Callithrix jacchus: one gene and its partner. The protein of the gene in region 2 interacts with the protein of the main gene of each other region in a pairwise test. Links are inferred from orthologs where the notes say so. Each region holds a gene or a part of one and is shown on either strand. Other genes may lie near its edges.

Region 1 (5,285 bases), on a different chromosome or scaffold from region 2:
CACCACTGCCTGGGCAACAGAGCAAGACTCCGTCTCAAAAAAAAAAAAAGAGAGAGAGAGAGAGAGAAATGAAAAGAAAAGAAGGGTTGGGCGTGGTGGTTTAACGCCTGTAATTCCAGCACTTTGGGAGGCCTCAGTGGGCAGATCATCTGAGGTCAGGAGTTCAAGACCTCAGATCTTGAACGGTGAAACTTCATCCCTATGAAAAATACACAATTAGCTGGACGTGGTGGCGCATGCCTGTAATCCCAGCCACTGGAGAGACTGAGGCAGGAGAATCTCTTGAAGCCAGTGGGCAGAGGCTGCAGTGAGCTGAGATCGCTCCATTGCACTCCAACCTGGACCACAAGAGCAAAACTCCATCTCAAAAGAGAGAGAGAGAGAGAGAAAAGGAAGGAAGGAAGGAAGGAAGGAAGGAAGGAAGGAAGGAAGGAAGGAAGGAAGGAAGGAAGGAAGGAAGGAAGGAAGGAAGGAAACAAAGAAAGAAACAAAGAAAGAAAATGAAAAGACAAAAATCTGCTATAGGCAGTTACAGCTGGGTGCTGAATCTGGGAGTTGAGTGTGAGACTCTCTCTAGGGATCTTGCTAGGTCCGGCTCCGTAGGTGTCTGGACTCAAAGCCAAGTCCCACGGGAAGGAGTAGGGAGGGAAAGAAGGGGTAGGGGCTGTTGTACCTTACTGGCCACGTAGGGAACGGCCTGGGCCTGGCCGATCGCCCCCACCAGGCTGGAGATGTTGATGATGTTCCCCTGGCTCTTCCGCAGGTGGGGGAGGGCAAGCTAGGGAGACAAGAGGCCAAGTAAACCGCAGGAGCCCTGAAACAGCCCCAGGCATCCTGAAGTCTGGGATGACGGCCTTCTCTCCGGCATGTTCCTAGTTTATCTCAGTGACTGCTAGAGACAGCATCTAACATAAACCCCTCTCTGATTTGCCCTGCGGTCGCTGGGTCTCAGCACTCAAGGAGTCTCTCCTTGTCGGGAAGGGATTTCTCTCTTCTCCTGGGTGTCTGATTCTGTCTCTCTCTGTTCCCCTCTCCCTGGGTCTTTGTATGTTACTCAATTCCTGTCTTTATCAAGTCAGGAAAATCGATGAGAGATCCAGAAGGCTGCACATTTTTCAAAAATGGGAGGAAGATCTTTTCCAGTGAAGTCTCTGTGGCCCAGTCTGGAGTACAGCGGCAATGCTGGTAGCTCACTGCAGCCTCAAACTCCTGGGCTCAAGCAATCCTCCCTGCCTGGCCCCCTGAAGTGTTGGGATTACAGGCATGAGCCATCACGCCCAGCCAGGAGGTTCTTTTATCTATTGGGGGGAAGATGGTTTCTATGAGGCCCTAATGAAAGGCACTCTGGACCAGGCACAGCGTCTCACGTCTGTAATCCCGCAGTTTGGGAGGCGGGTGGATCACCTGAGGTCAGGAGTTTGAGACCAGCCAGGCCAACAGGATGAAATCCCATCTCTACTAAAAATACAAAATTAAGCCAGGCACGGTGGTGCATGCCTGGATTCTCAGCTACTGAGCAGGAGAATCGCTTGAAACCAGGAGGCAGAGGCTGTAGTGAGCTGAGAAGGCGTCACTGCACTCCAGCCTGGGCAACAGAGTGAGACTCCATCTAAAAAAAAAAAAAAAAGAAAGAAATGCACTATTTCCTGCCACCTTCTCTCCTGCAACTCAATTCCCTGGCCACCTGGGAGGTCCCTAAATAAACACACACACACACACACACACACACACACACTCTCTCTCTCTCTCTCTCTCTCTGTTATGTGTGTGTTCATTGACTACACATGACCTTGGATAAACTCAAACTCTATTTTTCATCTCGCTTGCCTTGGGCAGCTGAGCTGGCCTAGCAAGGCCTGTCCCTGCCACTTAAGACCAGCTGATACAAGGCGGCACCCCAGCAGCTTCTCAGAGCGGGAATCTAAATCAGCTCCCTGTGCAGTTCCCACCACCAACTCTTTCTTATTTATTTATCTATTTTTTTTTAAGAGACGGGGTCTTGCTATGTTGCCCAGGCTGGAATGCAGTGGCTATTCACAGGCACGCACCCACTACTATCAGCACGGGAGTTTTGACCTGCTCCATTTCCGACCTCGGCAGGGTCACCCCTCCTTAGGCAACCTGGTCCTCTGCTCCCGGGAGGTCACCATACTGATGCCGAACTTAGTTCGGACACCTGATCGGCATAGCGCACTACAGCCCAGAACTCTAGGGCTCAAGCGATCCTCCCACCTCAGCCTCCCGAGTAGCTGGGACTACAGGCACAGGCCACCGTGCCCGGCGTTTTTTTTTTTAATTGTTGTTCCGACATTTTGTTCAACCACTGACTCTTTCAAGCCTTCTCCACTCCCCACCACAATGGCCTCCGCCCTTTTCTGTGCTGTATCTTCAGACCCACCCTGCGTGTTCCAACCTCAGGGCCTTTGCATTTGCTGTTCCCTCTGCCTGGAGCACCTTTTCCTGACAGAGCCACGTGACCCACTCCTAGGGTCTCTGGCCATCCCAGTTTGCCCAGGACTCTGAAGGGTTTCTGGGGACCTGGTACTCTCAGTCCACGGTGTCAATGCTAAACAGGGACTGTCCTCGGTAAACACCCTCCCTCAGCTCCTTCAAACCCTGATCCAAGGTCACCTCCTCAGCGAGGCCTTCCCTGGCCATACTGTTTAAAACTGCAGGCCGGGCTCAGTGGCTCACATCTGTAATCCTTGCACTTTGGGAAGCTGAGGAGGGAGGATTGCTTGAGCCCAGGTGTTTGAGACCAGCCTAAGCAACTTAGCAAGACCCTGTCTTTCTTTTTCTTCTTTTTTCTTTTCCTTTTTATACAGTCTTGTTCTGTCACCAGGCTGGAGTGCAGTGGCGCGATCTCAGCTCACTGCCGCCTCCACTTCCCAGGTTCAAGCGATTCTCCTGCCTCATCCTCCCAAGTAGCTGGGACTACAGGTGTGTGCCCCCACACCAGAATAATTTTGTTGTTGTTGTTTTGTTTTTTGTTTTTTAAAAGGAGTCTCATGCTCTCACCCAGGCTGGAGTATAGTGACTCTATCTCAGCTCACCACAACCTCCACCTCCTGGGTTCAAGCAATTCTCTGCCTCAGCCTCTGCAGTAGCTGGGATTACAGGCATGTGCCACCACACCCAGCTAATTTTTGTAATTTTAGTAGAGACAAGGTTTTACAATGTTGGCCAGGCTGGTCTTGAACTCCTGACCTCGTGATCCACCAGCCTTGGCCTCCCAAAGTGCTGGGATTACAGGCGTGAGCCACTATGCCTGGTCCCAAAAAATAAAATAATAAAATAAAACTGCAGTCCCCCTACTCCTGGGCCCCCTTCCCTCTTCCGGATGTCTTTTCTCTGTGGTACACACTCCCTTCTGACAGATCATATACATTTTATTTATTTGTTCACATTCTGTCTCTCCCACCAGGATGCAGAAACCTATGAGGGCTGGTCGAGATTTCTTATTTTGTTTCTTTCCCAGCACTACGGCTCCTGGCACATAGCACATGCTGCATAAATATCCTTTGAGTAAATTAATAAGTGAATGAATGAATGAATGAATGAATGAACTGAAGGCCTGGTATGTGTCCAGCCCTGTCCTCAGCAATTAGCTCATTTCATCCCTCTAATATTCTCCTGAACCTACAAGAAGGAGGTACAGCTGGTAGGGAGCAGTGGCTCATGCCTGTAATCCCTGTACTTTGGGAGGCTGAGGCCGGAGGATCACCTGAAGTCTGGAGTTAGAGACCAGCCTGACCAACATGGTGAAACCCCATCTCTACTAAAAATACAAAATTAGCTGGGCATGGTGGTGCATGCCTGTAATCCCAGCTGCTTGGGAGGCTGAGGCAAGAGAATCACTTGAACCTGGGAGGTGGAGTTTGCAATGAGCTGATATCAAATCATTGCACTCCAGCCTGGGTGACAAGAGTAAATGTGTGTATCAGAAAAAAAAAAAGAAGGAGGAAGAGGAGGATTAGGAGGTACAGCTGAGAGTCCCATTTTACAAGCCAGGAGACTGCATGGAGGGATGACTGATGCCCACAGAGCATCACCTGACACCAGACAGAGTCAGTATTTGCTGCTGGACAGGCTGAGGCCCAAACACATAAACGAACAAGAATTTCCAACAACCCCAAGTGTTGGCCCAGCGCAGTGGCTCGCGTCTGTCATCACAGCACTTTGGGAGGCCGAGGCAGGTGGATCACCTGGGATCATCAGGAGTTCAAGACCAGCCTCGCCAACATGGCAAAACTCCATCCTTACTAAAAGTTGAAAAAATTAGCCGGGCGTGGTGTTGGGTGCCTGTAGTCCCAGCTGCTTGGGAGGCTGAAGTAGGAGAATCGCTTGAACCCAGGAGGCGGAGGTTGCAGTGAGCCGAGATTACACCATTGCACTCCAGTCTGGGCAAAAAGGACAAAATTCCATCTCAAAAAAAAAAAAAATTCTCACAACTCTAAGTATTAAGAACTTTAGGCCAGGTGCAGTGGCTCATGCCTGTAATCCCAGCACTTTGGGAGGTTGAGATGGACAGATCACTTAAGGTCAGGAGTTCAAGACAAGCCTGGTCAACATAGTGAAACCCTATCTCTACTAAAAATACAAAAATTAGCCGGGCATGATGGTACATGCCTGTAATCGCAGCTACTTTGGAGACTGAGGCAGGAGAATCACTTGAACCAGACAGGCTGAGGTTGCAGTGAGCCGCGATCGTGCCACTGTACTCCAGCCTGGGCAACAGAGCGAGATTTCATCTCAAAAAAAGAAAAGAAAAACCATGCTCTTATGAGCATGAACGATGTGGGCATTGGCCAGCCCCTGGCCTCCTCCTCAGGGAACCCCCTCGCCCTCGCCTCCTCTTACTCCCACCTGCCTTACAGCCCACCCTCCCTCCCTCCCAGTGCTCACCCCACCCCACCCTGTTGCGTTTCTCCCTGTCTGTGTACCTGCCTGCGCTTTAATCTCCTCCCCCACCTGACCCTGCAAACGTGAGACTTCAGGACTGAGATACGGTTCTTGCCACCCTCACCCCAGCACCAGGCACACAGCTGGAGCTCAATAAATATTTGTCCCACACTCCCTGAGTGTCTTTCCCCCACACCCCTCAAGGTCGCTAGGTACCTGCTCTACGTCAAGGACCCACTGGGGGCCAGGCACAGTGGCGGGTGCCTGTAATATCAGCACTTTGGGAGACAGAGCTGGGAGGATTGCTTCAGTCCAGAAGTTCAAGGCCAACCTGGGCAACATACTGAGCCCCCAGCTGTCGCTGTTGAGACAGTTTCGCTCTG
Region 2 (5,285 bases):
CACAGCCTGGAGCGGGGACAGGCCCCAGGAGGGCTCCTTCCACCCATCATGCAGCCTGGCCATGCTCAGAGGGCTTGGGAAGAGCCTGGCTTATGAGAGCGGCCTTCTCCCAAGTTCCAATTCCTTCTCATTAATATAATAAGTGCACCAGTCCAAGTCAATAACATCACACTGTCGGATGAGACGCATCTCTGCCCCTTCCTAATGATGCGATCCTAACTGGCTCTGACGGAGCGCCGCAGTCTTTTCTCTGCAGTGGGACAGAGAAAGGCTCGGAGCTGACTGACAGGGGACAGGAGGCAGCGGTTTTAACTCTTCTCTTTGACAGATTCCCTTGAATTTCCTGGTCTTTTCGAAGCTCTTCAACCAGATAGGTAAATAGTCCCAAACTCAACGAAACACTTGGTTTTTCACAAGAAAAGTCCATGTTTGAGGGGACAGGGAAAGACGAGGCTTCCTTCCAGTAACAGAGTCAGTGGCCTGGGTCCCTGAAGGGGGCTCCAACAGTATCTGTCTGGGCCCCCGGCCCTCATTTCCAGGAAGCAGCGTGGGTTCTGGAAAGAGAGGCCTGCTGCTGTGACCTCGGAAGAATCTCTCGAGTGCCTGGATTTCAGATCCTTCGTCTGCTACACGGAAGGAGCCTCTGGATGCCTGGGGCTGTCAAGGGTATGAGTGGAGTGTCCCATACTCCCAAGGGGGGCGTTCCTGATACATCTTCCCTTTGGAGCTAAAGGAAGAGGCCTGGCCAGGTGTCCCCACAGGCAGATGGGGATAAGAGTTTCAACACAACACCCTCCCTGCCACCCGCACTGGCTCCATCAGCTGCTAGGAGCTGCTGGTCTTTAGGTTTGTACATTTCTCCTAATTGTGTGCGACGCACTGAGAGTCTCACTGGAACCCGTGTGAACAGTGACACTTTCCATAGGCAAGTGTGACTTCCAGAAAGTGCCTCTGCCCAGACAATGCTGCTCTCACACCCAGCTTGCTGCAGGCACTTGGGGTCTGGGGATGGGAGACATCCTGGCCTGAGCCATGGAGTGGGGTGGAAATGGGCTGGAATGGGTCGGTGTTCAGGGAGGCAGCCAGCAGCTCCTGGGGCCCAGCTCCCTCCTGGGGAAGTAGATGCTGGCGGGGGCAGCACACGGGGTGGGCCTGGGACATCTTCTTCTGCAAACGTACCTCAGAAAGCCAAGAACTAGCCCTGAGAAAGCAGGGTCCTCCCCTACTCCATGGGCCTCTGGGAAAGGTTCCCACAGACGGCTGTGGTGAAACCCAGACAGCCCAGGAGTAATGCATAGGAGACTCTGTTCCTGAATTCCACTGCAGGCAGGGGGGCTGTCCTGGGTCCTATGTTCTCATTAAATGAAAGATCCTCCATCATCCAGCATTCCAGCTGTCACACTTGCTTCCATACCCAGTGTATGGATTCTGAAGCTTGCCACTGCTTCACATGTCCCCAAAACACACATGTGACCAAGTCTCTTCCCAAGTCCAGTCTTTTAGCAACCCCTGACCCCTAGAGTGGGGTCCAGCCCACTGAGCTCGACGTTCAAGCCCCGGCCCACCTTTCTTGCCGCTCCTGCAAGGACCCTGGCCAAGCTAAGCTCAGCCGCACACCGAGGCTCACCCACTCTTTCCTGGAACGCTGCTCCCTCCTTCCCTGTCCCAACAGCACCTGGTCACCCTTTATGGTCCAGCTACAATGTCACCTCCTCCCTGGCAGGCACCTCATCCCACAGCTTCTAAACTGCCAGTTTAAAAGCCAAAAACTAGGAACAGCACAAACGTCACCCTCCAGAAGGGATGGACCCGGGGTGCTGCCTGTGAATGGGACACTCACAGCAATGGGAGGATGACTGCCCTTCAACAGACACATCTCCCACTCCAAGCAACTGGCTCAGTCAGCTTCTCTCGCAAGGCCCAGATGGTGATCAGATGGTGCAGGAAGCCCCAGCCAGCCTCCTCTGGCCACAGCTGACTCCCTTCTGGGTCACTGTCCTGAAGAGATGAGAAACTCTGAGGCTTCAAGATGGCATCTTCCTGCACAAACTGACCAAAGGCACGTGGAGAGAATGCTTTCGTCTCCCTGCACAGTCTCTAGGACCACTGGGGGCTGCTGGGCACACACAGGCCCCCCTTACCTAGGGAGTGGGCTGCGGTGGTCTCAGAGCTGAAGAAGCGGCCCAGACCAAGGTCACCAAGCTTCACAACACCCGTGGCTGTGATGAACACGTTGGCAGGCTTGATGTCTGTGGGGTGAGGAGAAGGAGGTTGGTGTGGGGCAGGAAGCTTGCAGTAGGTGGGGCAGGGCGAGAGGAAGGGGAGCTCCAGGTGAGGTGAGGCCCAGCCCAGGTCCTACTCCCTGGCTCTGGCTGTGGAATCTCCAGAAATTAACCGTTTCTGAGCCTCAGTGTCTTCACCTGTAAAATGGGTCTCCCTTCACCAACCTCACAGAGCTGCTGCGAGGGTGTAGAGGGCAGGGGTTTCTGTGCTCCTGTTACAGCTGTATCCTCTGTGCCTAGAACAGTGCCTCACACAGGAGGCCCTCAGGGGAGTCTGTGTAATGAAGTGCTCAGTGGGACGCCCTGCACTGTACCCCCCTAGCAAGGGCAGGGTCTCAAGTACAGCAGACACTGAAAGATACAGGTAGAGTAAAGGAACACAGGTGTCAGCCTACCCAGAGGACTCTGCATCCTGCCAGGCACCCAGAAGGCTCCTTTTTACCACTTGGAATGACGTCTACTGTGGAAATGCCCCTCTCTGGTGCCTCTCCTTCTCAGTGCAGCCAAATCCCGCTGAGATGGCAAAGCCCCTACCAAAGTCCCCTCTGTGCAAGGCTTCCCCGACCTCCCTCCCAGGCTGCTGTTAGGAACTGCAGGTGGTGTGTCAAGCGGGGCCCCTGCCCCCTAGGGCTCATGTCATCTCCACCTCGGGGAGGACACTGACACGAGTGGGTGGTGGCTGGACAGTACCCTGCCTGGGAAAACAGAGTGGTCTGACTTCCTCAAGGGGCTGCCCGAGGACCCTGGAGGAGCCAAGGGGATGCGTCTTCCTGGGGCTTCTGGGGCCCCCGGGCTCCAGGCGGCGGCTGGTGGGTGGCGCGTACCTCGGTGCATCACCCGGCGTGAGTGCATGTGCTCCACGGCGCTGCACAGCTGCACGAAATACTTCCACACCGTCCTCTCTGGGATGAGCCGCTTCTGCTTCTTAAAGTACTGCAGTGAAGGAAGACAGGCAGAGGGACAGATCCGGGTGAGCGGGCTTGGAGGTGGGTGGCTGCAGGGCGCTGCCTGTATCCTTTCCCCGGGGGACAGCTGGTGACTGGCACGGGGTGGGAGACTGAGCTGCTGAGCAAAAATAAGCCCAGAACCAAGAGCGCTGTGTCTGTGCCTCTACTTCTACCTGAATGGCACTTCGTGGCCACCCTGTACCCACCCTGCAAGCTCCGTGAGGGCCACACAGGCCTGGCGTGTCCAGATGGCTTTGCTGCATGGAGCCCCAGATCAAATATGCTGAAAGTGGGCCTCAACTGCATTTTTCCAGAACCTTCTGGACACACCCCTGAAAGGGCGCTCCTTGCTGGACTGAAATGGGTGTGGACTCTCCCTGGCCCCTCGCCTGGCCCAGGAGGGTGGCACCCAGGACACACGTGGTGGTGAAATCACAGCCGCCCCCACCTCCTCGGAACCAACAGACCTCAGTGCACCGAGATTCTTAACAAGCACAGCGAGAACCTTGAGGAAATGGGCTTGACTCACTCAAATGGAACCCCAGTTCCAACAGGCTTCGCTGCCTGGGAAAACATACTTAGCGCTCCAGGAAGAAAACAAACACAGAAAGCCCCCAATGGCACTGAGTGAGCTCTAAAGTAACAGGAGGTCCTGGAGAGGGCAGGCCCAGAGCATGTCACAGCCAGCGTTCGGCTCGAGACGGGGATGGCTCCTGGACGCCAGGCCCACGTCAGTGCCAGTGCGGCAGGACTCCCTCATCAGTTACCTGCATGCCAGCTTCTGTTCAGGGGCTTTCTGCTTCAAAGTAACCACCTTTCCCCAAAGCAGGCAGAGGCGGCGCTGTGGGCCCACTGGTCAGGGCAGCTGCTCTCGTGCTGGAGAGCTGGGAACTGACTGACCCAGGACGTGCCAGTCTGGGAAGGGGCGCGGGTGGAGGAAAGGACCTGGGCAGGCACTCTCAGAGCACCTGCAGGGTGTGGCCACCATGCCGGGCCTGAGGGCGGGCTGGGCTCATGTAGAATCACAGCTCAACCCCAGGTCTCCCACCTAGAAAGCCCAAGCCCTTAGCTCACTTCTTCTTTTTTTGAGTTAGAGTCTCCCTCTGTCACCTAGGCTGGAGTCCAGTGGCGCAATCTTGGCTCACTGCAACCTCCACCTCCTGGGTTCAAGCAATTCTCCTGCCTCAGCCTCCCAAGTAGCTGGGACTGCAGGTATGTGCCACCACATCTGGCTAATTTTTTGTATTTTCAGTAGAGACGGGATTTTGACCTGTTGGCCAGGCTGGTCTTGAACTCCTGACCTCAGGTGACACGCCTGCCTTGGCCTCCCAAAGTGCTGGGATTACAGGCGTGAGCCACTGTGCCTGGCCCCCTTAGCTCACTTCTAGTAACACCAGTAACCATTGATATGGGAGACTGAGCTCAAAGAGGTTCAGGAACATGGCCAAGGTCAGCCAGCACCCAGCTGGGACCCAAGTCTCGATGCTTCCCACAGTGGGACAGTTGTAGCTGGGAGCCCCTGGCGTCACTGTAAATCCCATTGAGGTTGTTCTGAGGCGCATTTCTGGGAGGGCCTCTCGGGTGAGCCATCCCAGGTCTCAGCAAAGACCCCACTCCTGGGCCACCTCCAGGCCTGTGGCGGGCCAGGCTGGGATGTTATTCACACTGTGATGAGAGCGAATCCTCATTACAGCATTTAAGCAGGATGCGTGTGGCCGAGAGTGGTGATTTTCTAAATGTCACGTCCTATAAGCACTGTCTGACATTTAGCGGCGAGGCGCAGAGTCTCTCGTGGGTTCTGGGGCCGCAGCAGCTCCTAGCTTTACTCTTTCTCATAAATAACTCGAGCACCATGGCTGTGATGGCACAGGCTCTCAGGACACACACCCTGCTACTTGGCAGCCTCTGAGGCCAGTGAGGTGACCATGAGGTGGCCCCTGTTCCTCTGGAAACCTAGAGGTGGCCTGAGAGCAGGCAGAACCAGGGGAACTGAGCTCCCACCAGGTCCCAGGCACTGTGCTGGGTATGTCACAAGTGAGGAAACTGAGGCACAGGG

What was found. The genes of interacting proteins can lie anywhere in the genome.
Region 1: the proteins of NEK6 (region 2) and HSD17B14 interact in binary tests that used the Homo sapiens proteins (3 or more experiments, as listed by UniProt). The two-hybrid records come from large-scale screens. The link is inferred for Callithrix jacchus from reciprocal best matches to the Homo sapiens genes NEK6 and HSD17B14.

Annotation. Positions count from the first base shown.
Region 1 is NC_133523.1:42,662,294-42,667,578, forward strand, and holds part of HSD17B14 (L-fucose dehydrogenase), read right to left. Parts: intron 779-5,285; coding exon 674-778; intron 1-673. UniProt on the Homo sapiens protein: Catalyzes the NAD(+)-dependent oxidation of L-fucose, yielding L-fucono-1,5-lactone, which rapidly converts spontaneously to L-fucone-1,4-lactone. Can also act on D-arabinose and L-galactose, with lower catalytic efficiency. Does not use NADPH.
Region 2 is NC_133502.1:172,947,762-172,953,046, reverse strand, and holds part of NEK6 (serine/threonine-protein kinase Nek6), read right to left. Parts: intron 3,216-5,285; coding exon 3,107-3,215; intron 2,250-3,106; coding exon 2,142-2,249; intron 1-2,141. UniProt on the Homo sapiens protein: Protein kinase which plays an important role in mitotic cell cycle progression. Required for chromosome segregation at metaphase-anaphase transition, robust mitotic spindle formation and cytokinesis.